Linked DNA regions of Danio rerio. The protein of the gene in region 5 purifies or fractionates together with the protein of the main gene of each other region. This does not show direct contact. Links are inferred from orthologs where the notes say so. Each region holds a gene or a part of one and is shown on either strand. Other genes may lie near its edges. The genes, in order: bicra, arid1b, smarca2, smarca4a and ss18.

Evidence for each region.
Region 1: the proteins of ss18 (region 5) and bicra purify together in Homo sapiens (affinity purification with mass spectrometry; 3 studies listed by BioGRID and IntAct, counting the BioPlex papers as one, with this or other methods). This does not show direct contact. The link is inferred for Danio rerio from reciprocal best matches to the Homo sapiens genes SS18 and BICRA.
Region 2: the proteins of ss18 (region 5) and arid1b purify together in Homo sapiens (affinity purification with mass spectrometry; 4 studies listed by BioGRID and IntAct, counting the BioPlex papers as one, with this or other methods). This does not show direct contact. The link is inferred for Danio rerio from reciprocal best matches to the Homo sapiens genes SS18 and ARID1B.
Region 3: the proteins of ss18 (region 5) and smarca2 purify together in Homo sapiens (affinity purification with mass spectrometry; 6 studies listed by BioGRID and IntAct, counting the BioPlex papers as one, with this or other methods). This does not show direct contact. The link is inferred for Danio rerio from reciprocal best matches to the Homo sapiens genes SS18 and SMARCA2.
Region 4: the proteins of ss18 (region 5) and smarca4a purify together in Homo sapiens (affinity purification with mass spectrometry; 8 studies listed by BioGRID and IntAct, counting the BioPlex papers as one, with this or other methods). This does not show direct contact. The link is inferred for Danio rerio from reciprocal best matches to the Homo sapiens genes SS18 and SMARCA4.

What each region holds. Positions count from the first base shown.
Region 1 is NC_133193.1:47,589,657-47,593,927, reverse strand, and holds the start of bicra (BRD4-interacting chromatin-remodeling complex-associated protein), read right to left. Parts: upstream 2,813-4,271; 5' UTR 2,755-2,812; intron 1,233-2,754; 5' UTR 1,228-1,232; coding exon 1,187-1,227; intron 689-1,186; coding exon 643-688; intron 156-642; coding exon 90-155; intron 1-89. UniProt on the Homo sapiens protein: Component of SWI/SNF chromatin remodeling subcomplex GBAF that carries out key enzymatic activities, changing chromatin structure by altering DNA-histone contacts within a nucleosome in an ATP-dependent manner.
Region 2 is NC_133195.1:5,081,275-5,084,790, forward strand, and holds part of arid1b (AT-rich interactive domain-containing protein 1B), read right to left. Parts: intron 1,489-3,516; coding exon 1,361-1,488; intron 9-1,360; coding exon 1-8. UniProt on the Homo sapiens protein: Involved in transcriptional activation and repression of select genes by chromatin remodeling (alteration of DNA-nucleosome topology).
Region 3 is NC_133180.1:46,020,027-46,024,203, reverse strand, and holds the start of smarca2 (probable global transcription activator SNF2L2), read right to left. Parts: upstream 2,814-4,177; 5' UTR 2,631-2,813; intron 2,487-2,630; exon of another isoform or gene 2,407-2,486; intron 810-2,406; 5' UTR 795-809; coding exon 570-794; intron 1-569. UniProt on the Homo sapiens protein: ATPase involved in transcriptional activation and repression of select genes by chromatin remodeling (alteration of DNA-nucleosome topology).
Region 4 is NC_133178.1:18,061,078-18,064,593, reverse strand, and holds part of smarca4a (SWI/SNF related BAF chromatin remodeling complex subunit ATPase 4a), read right to left. Parts: intron 3,050-3,516; coding exon 2,948-3,049; intron 1,899-2,947; coding exon 1,763-1,898; intron 1,246-1,762; coding exon 1,109-1,245; intron 1-1,108. UniProt on the Homo sapiens protein: ATPase involved in transcriptional activation and repression of select genes by chromatin remodeling (alteration of DNA-nucleosome topology).
Region 5 is NC_133177.1:1,537,965-1,542,125, forward strand, and holds the start of ss18 (protein SSXT), read right to left. Parts: upstream 2,806-4,161; 5' UTR 2,680-2,805; coding exon 2,611-2,679; intron 1-2,610. UniProt on the Homo sapiens protein: Appears to function synergistically with RBM14 as a transcriptional coactivator. Isoform 1 and isoform 2 function in nuclear receptor coactivation. Isoform 1 and isoform 2 function in general transcriptional coactivation.

The DNA.
Region 1 (4,271 bases), on a different chromosome or scaffold from region 5:
ATCTGATTTGGATGGTGGGGTTGAGGAGCACATGCTACGAAAAAAAGGATGGAGCCAGGAGGTTGGCGCAAATGGGGGATTTTACTCACCCCAGTGCTGGAGAAGAACGAGCTGGACGGGTCACCTGAGCCATCCAATAGGTCATCAGTGTCCAGCTACAGACAGATATACCCAGGATAGGACAGGCAGAAATCACCACAGCACACAGACAGGCGTGTGAAAGCGACAGGGAGAAGACGCACAAGGGGCAAATAGGCAGACAAAGAGGAAAAGGCAAGGGAAGAGAAAAGTGAGGACAGTGCACCAATCAACCAGAACAAAATGCAGGCACAACCAAGTTAAAAAGCCAAGCAAACAGGAAAGAAAACAGGAGTCAAAAGACAGGAAAATTAGATTAGTATGTCATATACGTGAATTAACCAAAGAGGGAAAAAATCAGGATTGAAATAGAAATTAAGAGGAGCAATTATGTTCTAAAGAAAAGATCAATAAGCTTGACAACCCTTTTAGGGGAAGAAATGTAAAAATAACCCGGAAAGAATTAGAAGGATCAGGGAACTCTTGGTGGATGAGGGTGTTGTGTTTTTCTGTGATGTATCTGGGTTACATTATAAAAGTGTGCCCACCACTGGAAGTACTCACTTGTGTTTCTGATCCATGAAGAAAATCGTTGAGTGCTTGTGGGTCACTGTACAAGAAAGTTGTTATTTAGCTTGGTCTACAATGCAACAAAACAAGCTAATGACACGTTATCCTCTTGTTAAGTCATGACGTATCGATGATGTTTGCAATATTGTTTCCAGGTCCAAGCCGCTACTCATTTGAATTGAGAAAATATTAGCTTATAGCCACTTTTTAGTCCTATCTCATATTAAAGTGAATTTTATATAAAATCATAGTGTATACATCAGTCTCTGGGATTGCTGCATCACAGACACCAAAATTTTAACAATTTATAAAAAAATGTATCACTTTCTGGCCATCGGATTAGCCATGGACATATATATTGCGGTCATGATTTTCGAAAGTATTACATTGCTTAGTAAACATTTATTATTATCATTTGATAAGTCTCCCCAAACAGTTTGATATAGCACTTGGACCTGGAAGCCGCTTTGCGCGATGTCACACTTAACAAGTAGATAAACAGTTATTTGACATTTTTGAGGTAACATATTGAACTTACCAAATTACATCTAGCAAGCACCTGCCATCTTCATCATCCATGTCAACTACAGTTAAAAAACATCAATATAAAAAAAGTACATAAGCATTAGCCCCGCCAACATAGGTGAGTTTTCAGAATAAAACATCCAAACATTACACTTTGTAGTGAAATGTGGGTTGATTAACTCAGAGGAAATTAATATTTAGACAAACAGAATAAATTCGCAAACACAAAAAATATAATTACCTGGCAGTTTTGAATGCTACAATTTTCAGAGTAAATAAATATAATCAATATTGTTGAACAAAAAAAATAATGATGACATTATTAAATCAGACTATGCTAGCAAGTAAGTCTTTCAACATTGATAATTGTGTATAAACAATAATAATAATAAAGCAAATAAACAGAAAAAAACAACACTTTTGATAACATACTTACAATTAATAATTACTAATTGGTGTAGCCAATTATGTACCCATTTTGGTGTATCCTATTTAGGCCCAAAATTTTGTTTTTAGACAACATATTCGGATGATTGAACAAACTTATATTGAAATAGTGAGTCTTCCAAGAGAAACTACACAAATTAACACGAGTGAACATTTCCGTATCCATTGAAAGCATCAGCTGAACTTTCGTGCAGTCGTGTAGCGTCAGAGAAAGTGAGGGAAAAAGCGCGCGCATCACCTCACACTCTCTCAAACACAGAAAAATACCACAGGGTGTCAAATATCTCGATTTGCAGACACACAACCGCCTATTTTCAAGAATTAGTCAGACTTCGGAGAGTCGTTGCAGTGCTCAAGATCACAGTCTCGATCTAAACAAATCAAAACCACAAAATGAGGATGAGGTAGGCGGGGACGCCTCTAATGTTTGTTAGGGGGGAAAACAGTATCAGTGTAGATCACACCGACCATCATTGACAAATATCTGCGAAAGCTTCTCCTGTCAGACATCTGATTTATGTCATTTTGAAAGCATCACACATCAGAAGAGCACCACAGACATGAATGGACACTCCGGACCTGCAGGACACGGCGGTTATTTTTCACAATTCGCAAAGCTTTAACAGCTCTTTGCACTCCTTTAAAAGCAGAGGCTTTTATTTTCAACAAATATACAGATTTACCCGCACGGAGCGCCTTTAATTCGCCTTTTCACGCTCGTTCTGCAGCTGATTTGGTTAGCTGTTGCTAGCTAGCTTCCTAGCTGTAATATGTGCGTTTACAGACGCAATACGCACAAATCTGACAATAACTGACTGTAAACACGTAGTATTTAGGCCATACAATCGCATTCGCTGGAGCCACTTGACATAATTGATGAATATTTGGCGTTTGGGCTCTAATAGTCGCGATTGCGTAGCCTATCTTTATCCCTGCTAAATATGAGTTTATGTTGGAATACTCTTGGATCAGGGGGGTATGCTTGGGAATTCGCTGTAAAATCAACCTATTGAGCGACCTATGCAACTGGCCGGTTGTACGTCGCGGGAAACGCTGAGCTCTGCATGCGAGTGTTGCAGCGTTGCAATAGTTATAGAGAATTATAGAGAAATTGCTACATTGTATCAAACTCACCCGAGACGATAGAGGTGCAGGCGGCGCGGGGTCTCCAGTACGGCCCTGCACGGGCTCCGAGTCAGGACCCAAGCACAGCGCTCACAAGCAGGAAACAGAGGCCCGGCGCGATTGCCTGATTAATTAACAAACCACAGCGTTGTTTTGATTATCGAGGCTGCACGTACAGTATCATGCATCGTGCATCGTTATACGTTGTTTTAATATAAATGTTGAACATTGTGCTACACTAAAGTGGTATATGAGCTGTAGAGTAGATACACTGAGTATGAAGGAATGGAGTTCAACCTTCATATGAACCACATTACAACACAGAACAAGTAGTGTGTGTGTGTGTGTGTGTGTGTGTGTGTGTGTGTGTGTGTGTGTGTATAAATAGCAAATTAGAAAGTAATGCTTATATAATGACCAAGGATTATATCAGTGGTTGTCTGATTATTTATTTACTTTTTTACATTTTATTGATTATGTGTTGCTTAGACAACCTTTTACGAATCTGATCCAAAATAAAAAGGTAACTAATTTATTAAAAAAGGGTATATTTGCTTAAATGAAAGCGTTTGTTCATAATAGTGATTTTAAATTAAAATACATGGCATCTAGCTTTGTTCTCTTCAGTTTAACAGTATTTTTATTTGGATTATAACAACACTTTAACAAAAATTTAAGGAAAAGGGCATCAGAATATTTTTTTTCTTTTTTCAATTAAATTATAGTTAAATACTGTCAAGTTTTGTTGTTTACATTTGAACTCTTCAGTATATACTTAGAATAATTTAATATGAAACTACAAAATATAATACAAATGTTTAATATATCAAGTACACAGCAAAATGATATTTATATAATGTGCTTGAACTGTAGCACTACTTTTCCTTTCATTATTCACTTCATAATAGTAATTGATTAGTCGATTACGATTCCTATCAAAATATGCCAAAATAAAAAAGTAACTAATTAATTTTATTTTAAAAAGGTTTTAAAATTATTATTTAGCTTAGAATAAAATCATTTCTAATTTATAATATTTATTTTAAATAAAAATACATGACATCTAGCTATGTTCTCTTCGGTCTGTTCGGATTATAACAATGTACACGTAACAAAAATGGGGAAAAAATGTAATTCAAATGACATCAAATTCTTGTCTTCACCTTTTTTCAATTAAAATATTGTTTAACACTGTCAATTTTTGTTGTCTACAGTTTTGAGTATGCATGCTAATTAATTTAATATACAACACTACAATGTATAATATAACAAGTAAACTGCAAAAGAATATACATACAATGGGCTTGAACTGTAACACTACTTTTCCTTATTATTCACTTTGATTATTTAGATGATTAGTTATTGTTACAATTACTATCATAATGTGCCAAAACAAAAAACACAACTAATTAATAAAAAAGAGATTATTTTGCTTAAATAAAATCATTTCTTATTTAGGATAATAATTTTAAATGAAAGTAAATTACATCTAGCTTTGTTCTCTTCGGTTTAACAGTATTTTCGAA
Region 2 (3,516 bases), on a different chromosome or scaffold from region 5:
CATGGGCCCTACAGGAGATTCAGACCCTTAGTCCTGCACCATCCAGAGATGTGCACAACATCTCATCAACAGCCTCCAAACAAAGACACTGTATACTGTAACTGATCTCAAGCTGAACCGCATTAAGCACTTTTTTTCCTCAATAAATGCTGCCAAATCTATAATCTCACACTTTCTGAATTAAATTTTAGATTTAAATAATACCGTTATAATGTCATTACTTTATGGTATTTTACTCAATCAGGGGTGCATTACCAATATTAGCCAACTAAGATTGCAAATTTCATCATTACAAACATAGTTTGGCGATTCTGTTCTGATTCTCCATGAAGTTGGCGTGGACCAACGCACATTCTCACGTTCATTTCATCGTTAGTAAATCCAAACATGAGCGTGAAATCTGGCGTACGTTAGAGCTGCACGATTCTGGCTAAAATGAGAATAGCGATTTTTTTGCTTAAAATAAAGATCACGATTTTCTCACGATTCTGTAGATGTAAAATAAAGGTAAAGACAAACATATGGCACAACATCGATAATAATATTATGTGTGGGTCTACTGACTTCTATAAATAATTCTATTCTACTCATAATAACTCTGATGTTGAATTATTATGTTTGAGATATAGGCATGCAATCTGTCATATTAGACAATTTTATTCACTGGTAAAATCAGACATTTGCCATTATCAGATTATAGGTCACAAAACTGCAAGAAGTAAAGCATTTATTAACATACATAGTGTCCATTAGTATGTGCCTGAATAATAAGATATATAAACATCAATTTCAATAGTTCATTAATCATTTACTAACTCATTCTGAATGCTCTTAAAAACCTCCAACTACTCGTAAATACAAATGGTTTGTAAAAATAATGCAGTAATGAAAAATCAACCAGTCACAAATTATGAAAGTACAATTATTAAGCACATTATAAAAGTGGTTATAAGTCAAGAACACAGCATTTGCAGATGCAGTTATAAACTAAGATTGAATTAAAAATAATAAAAAAAAAATATAAAAAAAAAAAATATATATATATATATATATATATATATATATATATATATATATATATATATATATATATATATATAAAACAATCATATCAAGATTTAGTACTTTAGTATATAAAGATTTAATTACTTTATCTAAAGAAGTTGTTACTCCACAAGCTTTGCATTTTAACTAATGTGGTTCAGACTACAGATTTCCGACAGAGTTCGAGAAACTACATCGACTATACACTGTTTTTTTGTTTTTTATGTATGCTTTAAAAGCAACATTACACAAAAAATAAATTACATATAAAAAAGGTATAATAGGACCCTTTTAAATATTGTATTTTAAATCCTACCTGTGGGCATTGTGTTGTAGGAGGGACCTTGAGGGGTCATCCTGGCAGAGCTATTGCTCGGTGGAAGGCTGTAAGGCCCTCCGGGACCCATTCCAAGCATGTGGGAGCCACCTTGATACCCGGCTGGCCTATGGACGAAAAAAACACATAAGAACAAAAACACAAACAAAATGTAAAGGGTTCAATGGTAAGTTGTTAGTACACTTATTTTCATTTCTTCTTTCTTTCAGCTGCCAAGCAACACATGCAGAATCCGCAGAGAGAGAGAGTTAAAGGATTAATACACATGGGGAAAGAAACAGATTCCTGCATTGTTTGTAGTCTGTCTTCTCATAAATGAGACAGTAGTAGAATCTACATGTCTACTAAGGTTAGATGTCATGGCTTTTACATGTTTTCAACTATCAAATCGCAGCTTCCACTACGAACATCACCAATTATTAATTATTAAAATGTTGTTGCCAACAAAGCAGTTGCCGAGATTCACCTTTCAAGTTCCACAGATAAAAGTAAGAGCACACAGATTTGGAAAGACTCAAAGATTAAATAGGACTGTACATTTCCTTGTTTTGGGGTGAACTACTTCATATTTGGGTCAATCCACTAAATCTACACTTTTCTTACTTTTAGTTATTGTCTTGTATTTAGTCCAAAAATCATCAAAAATGCTTAAATCAAGAAGCATTTCTTTAGATAAGTAAAAAATATTGGGTCTCATTCACTAGCCATGAGTACGCACAAATAGGCCTGTCATGATATCTATTTTTTGTTGTACTGTACAGTGCATCCGGAAAGTATTGATGGTGCTTCACTTTTTCCACATTTTTTATGCTACAGCCTTATAAAAATATAGGTTAAATTCATTTTTTTAACATTCTACATACAATACCCCATAATGACAGTGTGAGAAAAGAGTTTTTGAAATTGTTGCACATTTATTACAAGTAAAAAAGCTGAAAAATCAGATGTACATCAGTATTCACAGCCGTTGCTCACTACTTTGTTGATGCACCTTTGGCAGCGATTACAGCCTCAAGTCTTTTTGAATATGATGCCACAAGCTTGGCACACCTGTCTTTGGGAATTTGTGCCCATTCCTCTTCGCAGTACCTCTCAAGCTCTATCAGGTTGGATGGAAAGCGACGGTGTACAGCCATTTTCAGATCTCTCCAGAGATGTTCAATAGGATTTAGGTCTGGGCTCTGGTTGGGCCACTTAAGGACATTCACTGAGTTGTTGTGAAGCCACTCCATTGGTATTTTGGCGGTGTGCTTTGGTCCATTGTCCTGCTGGAAGATGAACCGTCGTCCCAATCTGAGGTCAAGAGCACTCTAAAGCAGGTTTTCATGCAGGATGTCTCTGTACCTTGCTGCATTCATCTTTCCCTCTATCCTGATTAGTCTTCCAGTTCCTGCTGCTGAAAAACATCCCCACAGCATAATGCTGCCACCACCATGCTTCACTGTAGGAATGGTATTAGCCTGGTGATGAGCGATACCTGCTTTTCTCCAAACGTAACGCCTGGCATTCAAGAGTTCAATATTAGTCTCATCAGACCAGAGAGTTTTGTTTCTTATGGTCTGAGAGTCCTTTAGATGCCTTTTGGCAAATTCCAGGCGTTGAGTGGCTTCTGTCTGGCCACTCTACCATACAGGCCTGATTGGTGGACTGCTGCACAGATGGTTGTCCTTCTGTAAGGTTCTCCTCTCTCCACAGAAGAACGCTGGAGCTCAGACAGAGTGACCATCGGGTTATTGATCACCTCCCTGACTAAGGCCTTTCTCCTCCGATCACTCAGCTTAGATGGCCGGCCAGCTATAGGAAGAGTCCTGGTGGTTCCAAACATCTTCCACTTATAGATGATGGAGGTCGCTGTGCTCATTGGAACTTTCAGAGCAGCAGGAATTTCCCCGGACGGTCCTGTCTCAGAGGTCTACAGACAATTCCTTTGTCTTCATGCTTGGTTTGTGCTTTGACATGCACTGTCAACCCTGGGACCTTATATAGACAGGTGTATGCCTTTTCAAATCATGTCCAGTCAACTGAATTTACCACAGGTGAACTCAATTAAGCTGCTGAAACATCTCAAGAATGATCAGTGGAGACAGAATGTACCTGAGCTCAATTTAGAGCTTCACCGCAAAGGCTGTGAATAC
Region 3 (4,177 bases), on a different chromosome or scaffold from region 5:
GCTGAGTTTTTGTTGCATTTACATAGTTTTGACCACTAGGTGCCGCTAACATGCGCTGTTTTCAATGCTTTTTATATTTATTTTAGTTTTTTATTATTAATATTAATAACAGGATACAGAAAACATTAATTTGTACTAATATTGTGTGACCTGAAAACAAATGATACATATTCATTGTACAGCTAGTTACATAAATGTCATAAAGGATAAGAAATAAAATCAATACATCAAAGAAAAACTAATATTTAATATAAAAAATAAAAAATAAAACAAAAGAAATAAAACAATATACATCTCAAACCATAAGTAAATTATTAAGAGTGTTAGGTATACAAAAAAGATCTGATCATTTAAAAGTAATGCTTATAATGATAATATTATTTTTCAGCAGTTCAGTTGTTTTGGCAGCTTTCTTATTTAACGACAGGCAGACAGATTCATATTAGTTTCAGTTCAATACAAAATGTTCAATAATTAGGCATACGCTCAATCATTTCTGTTTTGAATGCTTCAAAAAGGCGAATCATTTAGAGAAGCAACTGGTTGAATCGTTTTGAATTTTCTTCTACCTTATGCATTGGGTGCATTTCTTGTGAGTATTCTCCTGCTCCTTGGCCCTGCATTGTATGTGGGACACTCGGAGGTCCTGGACTGGGGCCCATCATGCTGTGTACAGAGCCAGGAGAAGGACCAGGTCCAGGGCTCGGTCCTAGGATGGGGCCCGGAGACAGGCCAGCACCCGGTGAGGGACCAGCATGGGACATCCCAACAGGTGGCTCATTGGGGGTGGCCATCTATCAGCTGAGAAGCTGTGAGAGGAATTGACAAAAGTTTAAAGATAATATAAATGAAGCCTTTCCTACCGTATTCTTCAATATTTGAGTAAAATTACGTCTGTGGTTATAAGGTATTAGGTAAACATCAGAAGTTACAGTATCATCAGATTAAAATTGCCACAAACTTTATTTTACCCATGAACTGACAATATGAAGAAATAAGAAAATATGAAGAAGAAGAAAAAAGATGGGTCTATTGGGTTTTTGTCATGCCTGCACTACATTGCTTGGCACCCCAAATGACAGCATTTTCAAGCCAAATGCATCTTATGAAAAGGTTCACTGTAAATTGATCATAAAACTTCATATAAATGCAAGTTATAGGAGCACAAACATTAATAAACTAAAATGCATTTAAGATTATATTTATTATTAATAAATATTACCTATTCAGAAATAATCCGACATGTATAACTTGTTTTAATACATAGAAATATGCATTGTTCTCTTTTAAAATAAAAAGCAACACGCCAGAAGAAACTGCATTACACTCTGCTGTGACTTCTTGCATCATTATATATAAATAACCTGAAACCAAGTTCTGTCATAATACTGAAATGTGTGCAATACATTTTTGATAGTTCAGGGTCCAGATTTTTTTTAAAAACAAATTTCCCCCTGCTTCAAATAATTTAGAACAATTATCAATTATTTTAAGCTATTGTTAAATATTTTACTCCTAACATTGCATTGTTTCATATTACTTTGCATAAGTTTCTTAAGCATGTTGCTTGCTGAAAAAAACAAGCAATTAATTTGCTCTGTAAAACTATCTTATATATAAATTAGCATTAATAATTATTAGATAAACATTTGACTCCCATGTGAGTGCATCATCATCATTACTATAGTAATTATTATTATTACTATTATTATTATTAGCCTATTATGACCTCACCCACTCAGATAAAGGAAACATACATTAAATTGAGTGATTTTGACTTAATAAGTTGCATTGTTTCCTAGCACTGCTTTATTGTTGTTTCTACTATGAAGTAAAAGACAACACGGTAGACCAAAACTTTGACAGGGTTATTTGCATAACTATAACCCGCGCTGTGCTCAGACACGCCCCTCAAGCGGCACTTCTGGAATGAAAATACAGAATCACAAGCCACCAGTATGACAGTAAAGAGTAAAACATTGCAGAGGGTAAGATAATAACACACTTTTATCAAGAAAATGCCCTCTAACATTTAATTACAGACCTTATTTAAAATTACAGTAATTATTCGCGTCTCTATGAACCAACAAGAGTTCATTCACGCAGATCAGCCCAGGCTAAAGACCTGAATAAACAACTAACGTTATTCTGCTGTTGAATGTACAAATGCATTCGTGCAGGCCTATGTTTAGTGTTCAGAGCATGATGACTAAAACTTTAAATAGAGCCTAATTAGGAAGAGTCGCTGTTAACGGTGATATCACACGCAAAAGGCCTATTTTAAAAAGAAGCAATGCAGTGATAGCGGGGTGTTATTTGGAGAGAGTTGCTGTGATCGGATCATGGCTTCCTCGACCTGCTGTCATGACTGTCTCCCCTCACGCCATTGCAGTTTCCTGAAATCTCAAACTTTCTGGGACCTTCCCATCACAGCGCGCCACCAACGCACATTCACAGCAGCTTTTCTGTTTCGTTGGATTACGAAGGTATTTTTCTTGCATTCATAGACGAGTCATTTACTCGCCTGCTTTTATGCTGTCAAAGTTAATAGCAAGCAAGCTTATTTAGCCCCCCGTCTGATATAACAGCTCGCTAACCGTCTGTACAGTTATGTTAGCATGCTAGCTTACCACATTTTATCAGTAAAATGCCCAAAATGCTGCCCGCTGACATATATACATTAGTATAAATGTCCAAGCAAAGAGTATTTAAACCTAATTACCTTCTGCGAGGTAAACAACACAATAAAAGGTCTAGCACATTATTTCAGCTTCAGAAATATGACTGCCATATGTTGATCCCCTCCCCCTTCTGTTTTGCTGACAAGTTGAAGTCCGCGTTTTTTAGTGTTTTCTTATTTCTGATTGGCTGAGAGAGCAGGAAATGCAGTCGCCTCTGTCGTGTGATTGGCTGAAGAACACGTCTATCATTTAGTGATATATTTGGGGGTGGAGGCTGGCGGATACATAACTTTCACTTCACACAACGACGAACGTGCTGGAACTTTCGTCTGTCCGCCAGGGCGTTTAGGGACAAACTCTTCTATATGCTCTCGCGTTCACACACAACGCACAGAATGGGCTTTATTCATACTTTTTTGTGTCCGCGCGTATCTTTTAGAAAGACGCTTTGTTTTATGTTTCGATATTATTGGGAAAATTACATCCATAGCAAATGCATGTGTTGTGTAAGCAGCATGTTACTGTTTGCTACAAAGAGGAAAATGCTTTTAGTTTTCGATGTAAAACCAAGTGTGATGTATTACATTGTATATTTACATTAATTATAATTTAAATGTTAAATTAAATATTTAATGTATAATATACATTTAATTTTTTACAATTAAATTGCTCGTTTGAGCCGAAGTTTGACTCCCATAAGAAATAATAACTTCACGGCTTCTGATTGGTTTAGTCATAGGGGGAATGCTACCAGCTTGGTCCAAATCTTTAAAGACCACCCAACCCTAACAATTTTAAACTTTAAAAGCCTCCTTAGTAAAATATTTAAATGATCATTTGTATGATTATCATGTATTCTGGGGAACAAGATGAAAAACTACAGGAAGAAGAAAAACTCCTTGTTTTTTATTCATGTTGTTAAGTTGTATATTTAAATGATTTTTGTTTGATTTAATGTGAGTCGAAGACGATTTTCAAGCAAAAAAAATAATAAATAAGTGTAGTAATGTAATACTTCCATTTAATGTGAATTATTTAATTATTTCTGAGCAATAAATTAATAATAAATAAAGTAACCGTTATAATAATATGACATATTTTATATCATTATTTAAAGAATAAACAGTTTTTAAAATTTTTTACATATACAGCCTTTTTAGACCAAGGATAATTTAATTTGATGCCATATGAACTGTATACACGGACTGTTAAATGAACCCAATGGGGCTTCAAATACTAGGAATACTTCATTATTTAATTATTTAATATTTCATTATTATTATTTTAAATGTGTATACTTTGCTACAATCTGTCAAGCAATATTTTACACATTTTATCAGCAAGAAGTTTTTTTAAATAATTTAAAATGTATTAAGATAAAATATAATATAGTATAATGTAATAAAATAATATAATATAGCCTAATATAATATAATATAATATAATATAATAAAACACAAAATAATATATTATAGCCAATTATAATATAATAAAAT
Region 4 (3,516 bases), on a different chromosome or scaffold from region 5:
ACCCACTACTGGGAAACACCCATAGACACTCATTTACACAGACACTCATACACTATGAGTGTATGAGCCAATTTAGTTTATTCATTTCACCTATAGCGCATGTCTTTGGACTGTGGGGTAAACCGGAGCACATGGAGAAAACCCACGCCAACAAGGGGAGAACATGCAAACTCCACACTGAAATGACAACTGGCCTAGGCAAGGAGTCGAACCAGCGACCTTCTTGCTATGAGGCAAATGTGCCACCGTGTCACCAGATGTGCAAAACTTTTTTTTTTTTTTATAGTGTAACAGTGTCCTCATGTTAAAAACAGTAGTGAACAAATGTTAAACAGTGTTTTAACAATATAAGTTTGTTTCAAAAACATTAGAGTAACAATTTATTTTCACAAAAGAAGCTGTGTAAATGTCTTTTAATAACAGTAGTGCAACTTATTAACTACCTAGAACACAGACCTTTTTTTTAAATGGTCAAAACCTTATAACAGGCGTAACTAACCCTGTTCCTAGAGACCTATATTAAACACACCTGCCTATAATTATCAAGTGCTGTTCAGGTCCTAATTAACTGGTTCAGGTGTGTTTGAACAGGGTTGGAGCTGAACTTTGCAGGAAGGTCGATCTCTAGGAACAGGGTTGAGCACCACTGCCTTATAACAAATTTAAAAGAAACCTCATAAAAAACTTCAAACAAACCGCATTTAATACGTATACGTCATAATTTCAGGTGTGAACTCTAAGAGTTAAGGGGTTGAAGAGCTAGAGCAGTTAAAGAGTCAAAACATTTTCTTCATTGAATTGAATGCAAATTTAGTTACTTGTGTGTGTGTGTGTGTGTGTGTGTGTGTGTGTGTGTGTGCGTGTGTGTGTGTGTGTGTACTTTTTCCCTTTAAGTTTAATTATTCTTCATTGATTATTCTTGTTCAGCTCTTGGGGTAGGGCTTGGGTTAAAACAAAAATAGAAAGAAGGAAACTAATGTTTACTTTTGTATTGTATGTAGATTATATTTTCCTTTATTATCATTATTATTATTAGTAGTAGTAATATTAATGATATTAATAATAACAGTAATAATAATCATCATCATCATTGATTATTCTCAAGTACCTCTTCCTGGTCTTCCTCACTGTCGTCATCACTAACAACAGGTTTAGGCCGCGAGCTGCGTCCGGTTCGGCGTCGTCCTTTTCCTCTCTCCGCCTTGTCCTTTCTACTCAACTTTATCTTCACCTTCACTGAACGAGCTGTAATATATACACAAACAAATATTTTAATATTGGGCTTAATATAAATTAGAGTTGTAAGTGTTTTATACTGTAATCAGATAATATTTGGATTCATTCATGTAGCAGTATGGACCCTTTTCACTTGTCTGGGTTTCTCAGTAGCGGAAGTCTTTATAGTGGAGTAAACGTAGAGCGCAGTGAATACGAGAGTACAGCAAATCTTTTTTTTACAATCCTACTTGCTGAAAAAAATGAAAGCAAAACTCCCAGATGGTTTTGGCAAGACTTTCAGAAATAGGAAACAAATAGTGTGAGATCGATAACGGCAACCAGGAGAGAACATTTACTGTCCTGCCCATACACTGTTTTACAAATGCCTCGCACAAGCAGTAATTTGTTTTTTGTAATTTGATGCAAAGATGATATGATACATACATAAATAAATTCAAATGTTCATACCATTTAAATTTTAAATGCTGATGACTGAAATGAGTCATAACAATTTGGTGAATGGAGACCATTATTGTCAACTTACATTCAGACTCGGATCCTTCATCGACATCATCCTCTTCCTCCTCGCTGTCATCTCCCTCACTCTCTTCCTCCTCTTTCTCGATCTTCTGCCGCACGCTGGTGAACACAGACTGCAGCACGATAGAGTCCTCGTAGATCTGAAATGTCAAACCCTCAACTCATTTAATGATTTTAGGTTGCTTGTACCAATTTAAAGACACTGATGCAGTAGATGGAAAAAACATTTATATAAAACATTATATTATAACCTATTGCGCCATATTCAATTATGTTTAGCTTAAATACAACAACTAAAGATGAAAATTAATGTCAATTAAAGTTTTATGCATTTAAAAATTGACAAACTAATTATTTAAAACGAGTTGAGTTTAGACAACTTAATTGTTTTATATTCAATCCACTTTTGTAAATTCTATTAGGTTAAGTAATCGATTTTTGTTGACACAACATCATGTAATTGTGTTGAACACAGCATTTTTTACAATGTGTTTTGATGAAGGAATTATTATAAAAAAAAATTAAGTTACAAACATTTTAAAATGTGGAAAACCTAAAAAATAAAGTGTACAAAAACAGATATACTTAACACAATACTTCTTTTTTTTTTTTTTTTTTTTACTGCGCATTCACATCGAAAGCAGAAAAATAGCCGAAAGCACACAAAAAGCGTAAAAAAGTAGCCGGAAGTCATTCATTTTCAATGGGAACCAGCGGTTGCACATCTTCGCTAGTGCGGCCGCCAAAGAGAGTTGAAATCAAGTCAATTTTCTAGCAGTGAGCTATGACACAAGTTCATTTTCATAATATAAAACAAGATTTTTTTATGCGGGAATAACTGATCGGCTGATATACTGTGATAGCCCCTCTAAATACGAGATCAGTGTAGCAAATTTTTAAGCCCTCACTGGGGGAGCGGTAAACATCTTTTTAAATCTTCCAAAACAACTATTAATGGTTATGTTATGGGATCAGAAAAATATTAATCTGTAAATTTTTGACAGCGTTGTCGCCAGGGTGGCCAGAGCAAACTTTTTCAGTGTGAAAGACAGTTACACACTTACACATTTTTCATCTTTTTACACAAAAAACATCAGTTTTTTTGCACAAAGACAATAAACTTGGTCGAATTGGTATTTTTGATGGGTGTTTAATAAGATTGTGGCTTAAAGAGTATGATGAACATTACCAAAGATCCCTCCAGGTTGAAGGTCTGAGCGTTCTGACACAGCAGCATAACGTCCTTCTCTAGGTCATTCAGACTGCGGTACTTGTGACTCCTGATGCGCTCCTGTGTACAGCAGAGAGAAGGATTTAACACTGAAATGTTTATTCACACATATATGGTAACACTTTATTTTGATGGTCCAATTAAGTATTAGTAAACTGTCTGCTTAATATCTGCTGATACTGCTCCTTCAACAGACATTTAACTGACTATCAGAAACTTTGCAAGTACATGTCAACTTGCACTAACCCCAACCTAACAGTGTACTTATTTGATGAGAATTAGTTGGCATGTAGATGCAATGTAACTTAAATTCAACAAACAGACCCTCAAAATAAAGTGTGACCAAATATTTTGTTGCATTCATTAACCAATTCATGAAAAGCGTTCGTATTATAACTCTATTAATGCAATAATTGAATAAATCAGAGTTGATTTACACCCTAAAACATTGTCAGAATTGTCCTTTCAGGTTTAAAATCTAAATAAAAATCAGAAAATACTACATAATGAAACATCCAGAGTTCTCA
Region 5 (4,161 bases):
CATACACAGTGACTCTCTAATGTTATTGATATATAGGTACACTATATATTTCAGTTTGCAAGGGCTGCACGATATTAGAAAAGTCAGATAATGCGATATTTTGTTTTGCTGTGATATACATTGCCATAAGAAATATAATTTTACCACATGATTTGAATAACCCATTTCTTAATTTAGATCAACTGGGATTATCAAGTACATCTGCATAAATATAATAAATTACAAGCATATATAATTAATTAAATAAATTAACAAACAGTGCTTTATGGCTTTCTGTGGAGTCAAGCACAGAAATTGAACAGTTATCAAAGGTAAAATAACAACATCTTTGTCTTTTCATCTTCATCTTTAATAAATAATCGAATCCTGCAATGTGACTATTGGGGATGCACACATTGCGATATTGATGCTCAAACGATATATTGTTCACCAATAAATTTATTTATTTAAAATATATATATATATATTTAAATATAAGACACATGTTTTTGGTCATTTATTGGTTTAAACCAAAATGTTTTTCCATGCAAAGCTTTCGTGTGACTTGTTTGTCAGTTTTAGCCAATTTATTTTTGGTACCAATGCTTTATACTATTGCAGACTGAAGGATGATAATTGTATTTATTTTTCTAAATCATTTATTTATATCCAATATGACTTATTTTCCTCAGGGCCGTTATACAAATGCATATACAAATGAATTATAATCATAAAAGAGGGAATTAGTTAAATATTGACTTGAATTAATGACTAAGAATGTCTATGGAGGTAAAGTTGGTTTTATATTCGGATATTCAGACATTCTCCTTGATCTGATTATATAATTTCAGAAAAGTATTCTCTGAAAATTGTAAAAAGGGAAATCAGATTAGCAGCAAATGACTATCAAAGAACAACATTGTTCACAGTGAATTACATAGTGTTAATGTTGTTTAGAAGTCATACATGCGTGCCAATTCCGATCGAATATTTAATGTAACATGGTAAACAATATAGACTTCTAAATGAACGAATGTGCGAATATAAAACCAACTTTACCTCTATAGCATGTCTTATATTATTATAAAAACTGAATATATTTCAGAGTGATTGTATAGTGATGTTAATCTCCAGGACCTGATTGAAAGCTAATTTAAAGAAACAAATTCACCAAAAGAAAAACACCAAAACAACTGCAGCAGAGAATATTATAAATAGCTAAATATTCAAAATAAATAATTTCCACAGAAGCTACGAAACAGTTGTTTAAAAAAAATCATTAATGACAACACTTTTATTATAATAAAATCATGAATAATCGTTATATCTTTGCCATAACAAAAATCTGGTTAATAAACTGTTTAATACTACTTATTATTGTATGCCATGGCGATATATGTTTTTTTCTTTCTTTGGATAAGGACAATATCGAAATATCTATAGTTGAAGTCAGAATTATTAACCCCCCTGAATTGTTAGACCGCTTGTTTGTTTTTTCCCCAATTTCTGTTTAACGGAGATTTTTTCAGCACATTTTTAAACATATTAGTTTTAATAACTTATTTCTAATAATAGATTTATTTTATCTTTGCCATGATGACAGTAAATAATATTTTACTAGATATTTTTCAAGACACTTCTATAAAGCTTAAAGTGACATTTAAAGGCTTAACGAGGTTAATTAGTGTAACTAGGCAGGTTAGGGTAATAAGTTATTGTATAATGATGGTTTGTTCTTTAGACTTTCGAAAGAAAATATAGCTTAATGGGGTTAACGTTAATAATTTTACCCCTAATATGGTGTTTAAAAAATGGCTTTTATTCTAGCCGAAATAAAACAAATAAGACTTTTTCCAGAAGAAAAAACATTTTCAGACAAACTGTAAAAAATTTCCTTGCTCTGTTGAACTTCATTTAGGAAATATTTAAAGAAGAAAAACATTAAAATGGGGGCTAATAATTCTGACTTCTACTGTATATCTCCATCAGACCTGAGTAACAGAAATCACTAAACAAATCAACAAATCTAATTAAAACTTATGCATTAACCTTGAATAATTTTATAAGACATCAGGAATGAAAAATCTGCTAACTTACACATCTAACGTGTCAAAAATAACGTTTGGCTTGTCGAATAAGACATGACTGAAAATGACCAAATCAGACATTGTTCATCAATAAATCAGATATTAGCATAACGTTACACGCTAGTTCGTAACGAAATGAATTTCATCACAAAATCAAATATAAATCGACGATATCTTTAAAAATAAATCGACGACAGTGTTATTGTCAAGTGAACATGTACGTTGTGATGCTTGTACACAATCCTCCATTGTGATTCATCAGACAGCCGAGTAGTAACGTTAGCGGCTAACAAAGACACAGCAGAACCGAGCAGATTTCAACAGCTTTAAAAACCCCGGACCAAAAAACACAAAATCAGCCCATTTTACGCTGGTATTCGGTTATGTAGGAGCTGTTAAATACGACGACAAATGTCACCTTATAAGCGTCTTGTTGGTGATGTTATGCTAGTGTTGGCGGGAGAGATGTTGCAGCTAACTAGCCTAACGCAAATTTTCCGTTTCCAGTTTTCGCTCGGCTTGACGAACTAATAAATGAGGTTACCTTCTGTATCCCGGCAGGCGTTATATCGCCCTTGGCACGCTGCCGGTGCGGTGCAAAAGCCACAGACATTGCTTGTTTCTGGTTAATTCAGATTACCGCTACGGTGGACACAAACACACTGACCGAGAACAAACGCGCTGAGCTGCGAAATCAGAATCAACCAACGCGCACGGAGCACACAGGGGAGCCTCGCATACACCAAATCACACTCAAGACAAGAAATAAAGAAGACCTGCTGGTAGCAAAATGTCTGTTTACATATTTAAACTCTGTTATTAATCATTACACAGTGTGAATGGGCGCAGTGTCCAGATTAATATAATTTATAAGAGCTACAAATCCAAAGCACACCTCTTTTTCTTAAAAATGGTTTGCCCCTAAGGGTCAGAGAAGGGGGAATTCCAAACAGCAGCATTTTGTGCACTGAGTACGTGCGCGTTTCCGTTGCACATGCAATGCGCAAAACGCCGTCGTGTGTGGAGTGTGCACATATGTTATACTTTAATTGACTTGCTATATTCATATGCGCAAAAAATTGAAGCAAATTTAGGAAATACCAAAACGCCATTTTCATATGCGCAAGTACTTGCATTTAATTTAAATTCAATAAATTATGCAATATATTATGACGAGCGGAATGAAAATCACTGCTTTACAACATGATCCGCTTTAAATGGCTGCTTCAGCATCCTAAATATTTAAATTAATATCTTCTTTAGTATTTACCTGCATCTAAATTGTAAGACTAAATGTAATAGCCAATTCAAAAGCATGTTGCAGATGCAGAGCCTGACATATAGGTGGCATTTTTATTTACATTCACAGTTAAGAAAACTATTTGTGCACCATTTGCTATTGTGCACAGTACTGTTATTTAAATGACCGGTCCTTTTGCATTTACAATTGTAAGAGAAAGTCGTTTATTTTCAAGAAAGCTCAACTGTCAGGGTCACACCTATCAGCAGGTGGCAGTATCGCACAGCAGGTAAACATTTTTGGTCTGCAATCTGCATTTGACAAGAGGAAAACAAATTTGCAGCTCAACATTTTGTAATAATAGCTTGCAGCACAACTTTAGATTTAATCTTAAACTGGAAGTATAAATATAAATATAAATATATATATATATATATATATATATATATATATATATATATATATATATATATATATATATATATATATATATAAATATATATATATATATATATATATAAATATATATATATATATATATATATATATATATATATATATATATATATATATATATATATATATATATATATAATCATTAGAATGATTATATATATAGTGTTAGTGTTCCGTCAGCCAATGGTATTTGGAGATCACAAGCTCAATGTGGAATGAGACCTGTAAGATCTCCAGACGTTCTTATGAAATTTATTGTATAACTGACAAGGTAAAAGAAGTAACATTCAAAACTGTACACTGTATATGTCCAGCTAAAGATGTTTTAGACAGATTTAATTTGAACATTGCTTATTCCTGTGATTATTGTTGCATGGAAAATGCATCTGTTGTCCTTAT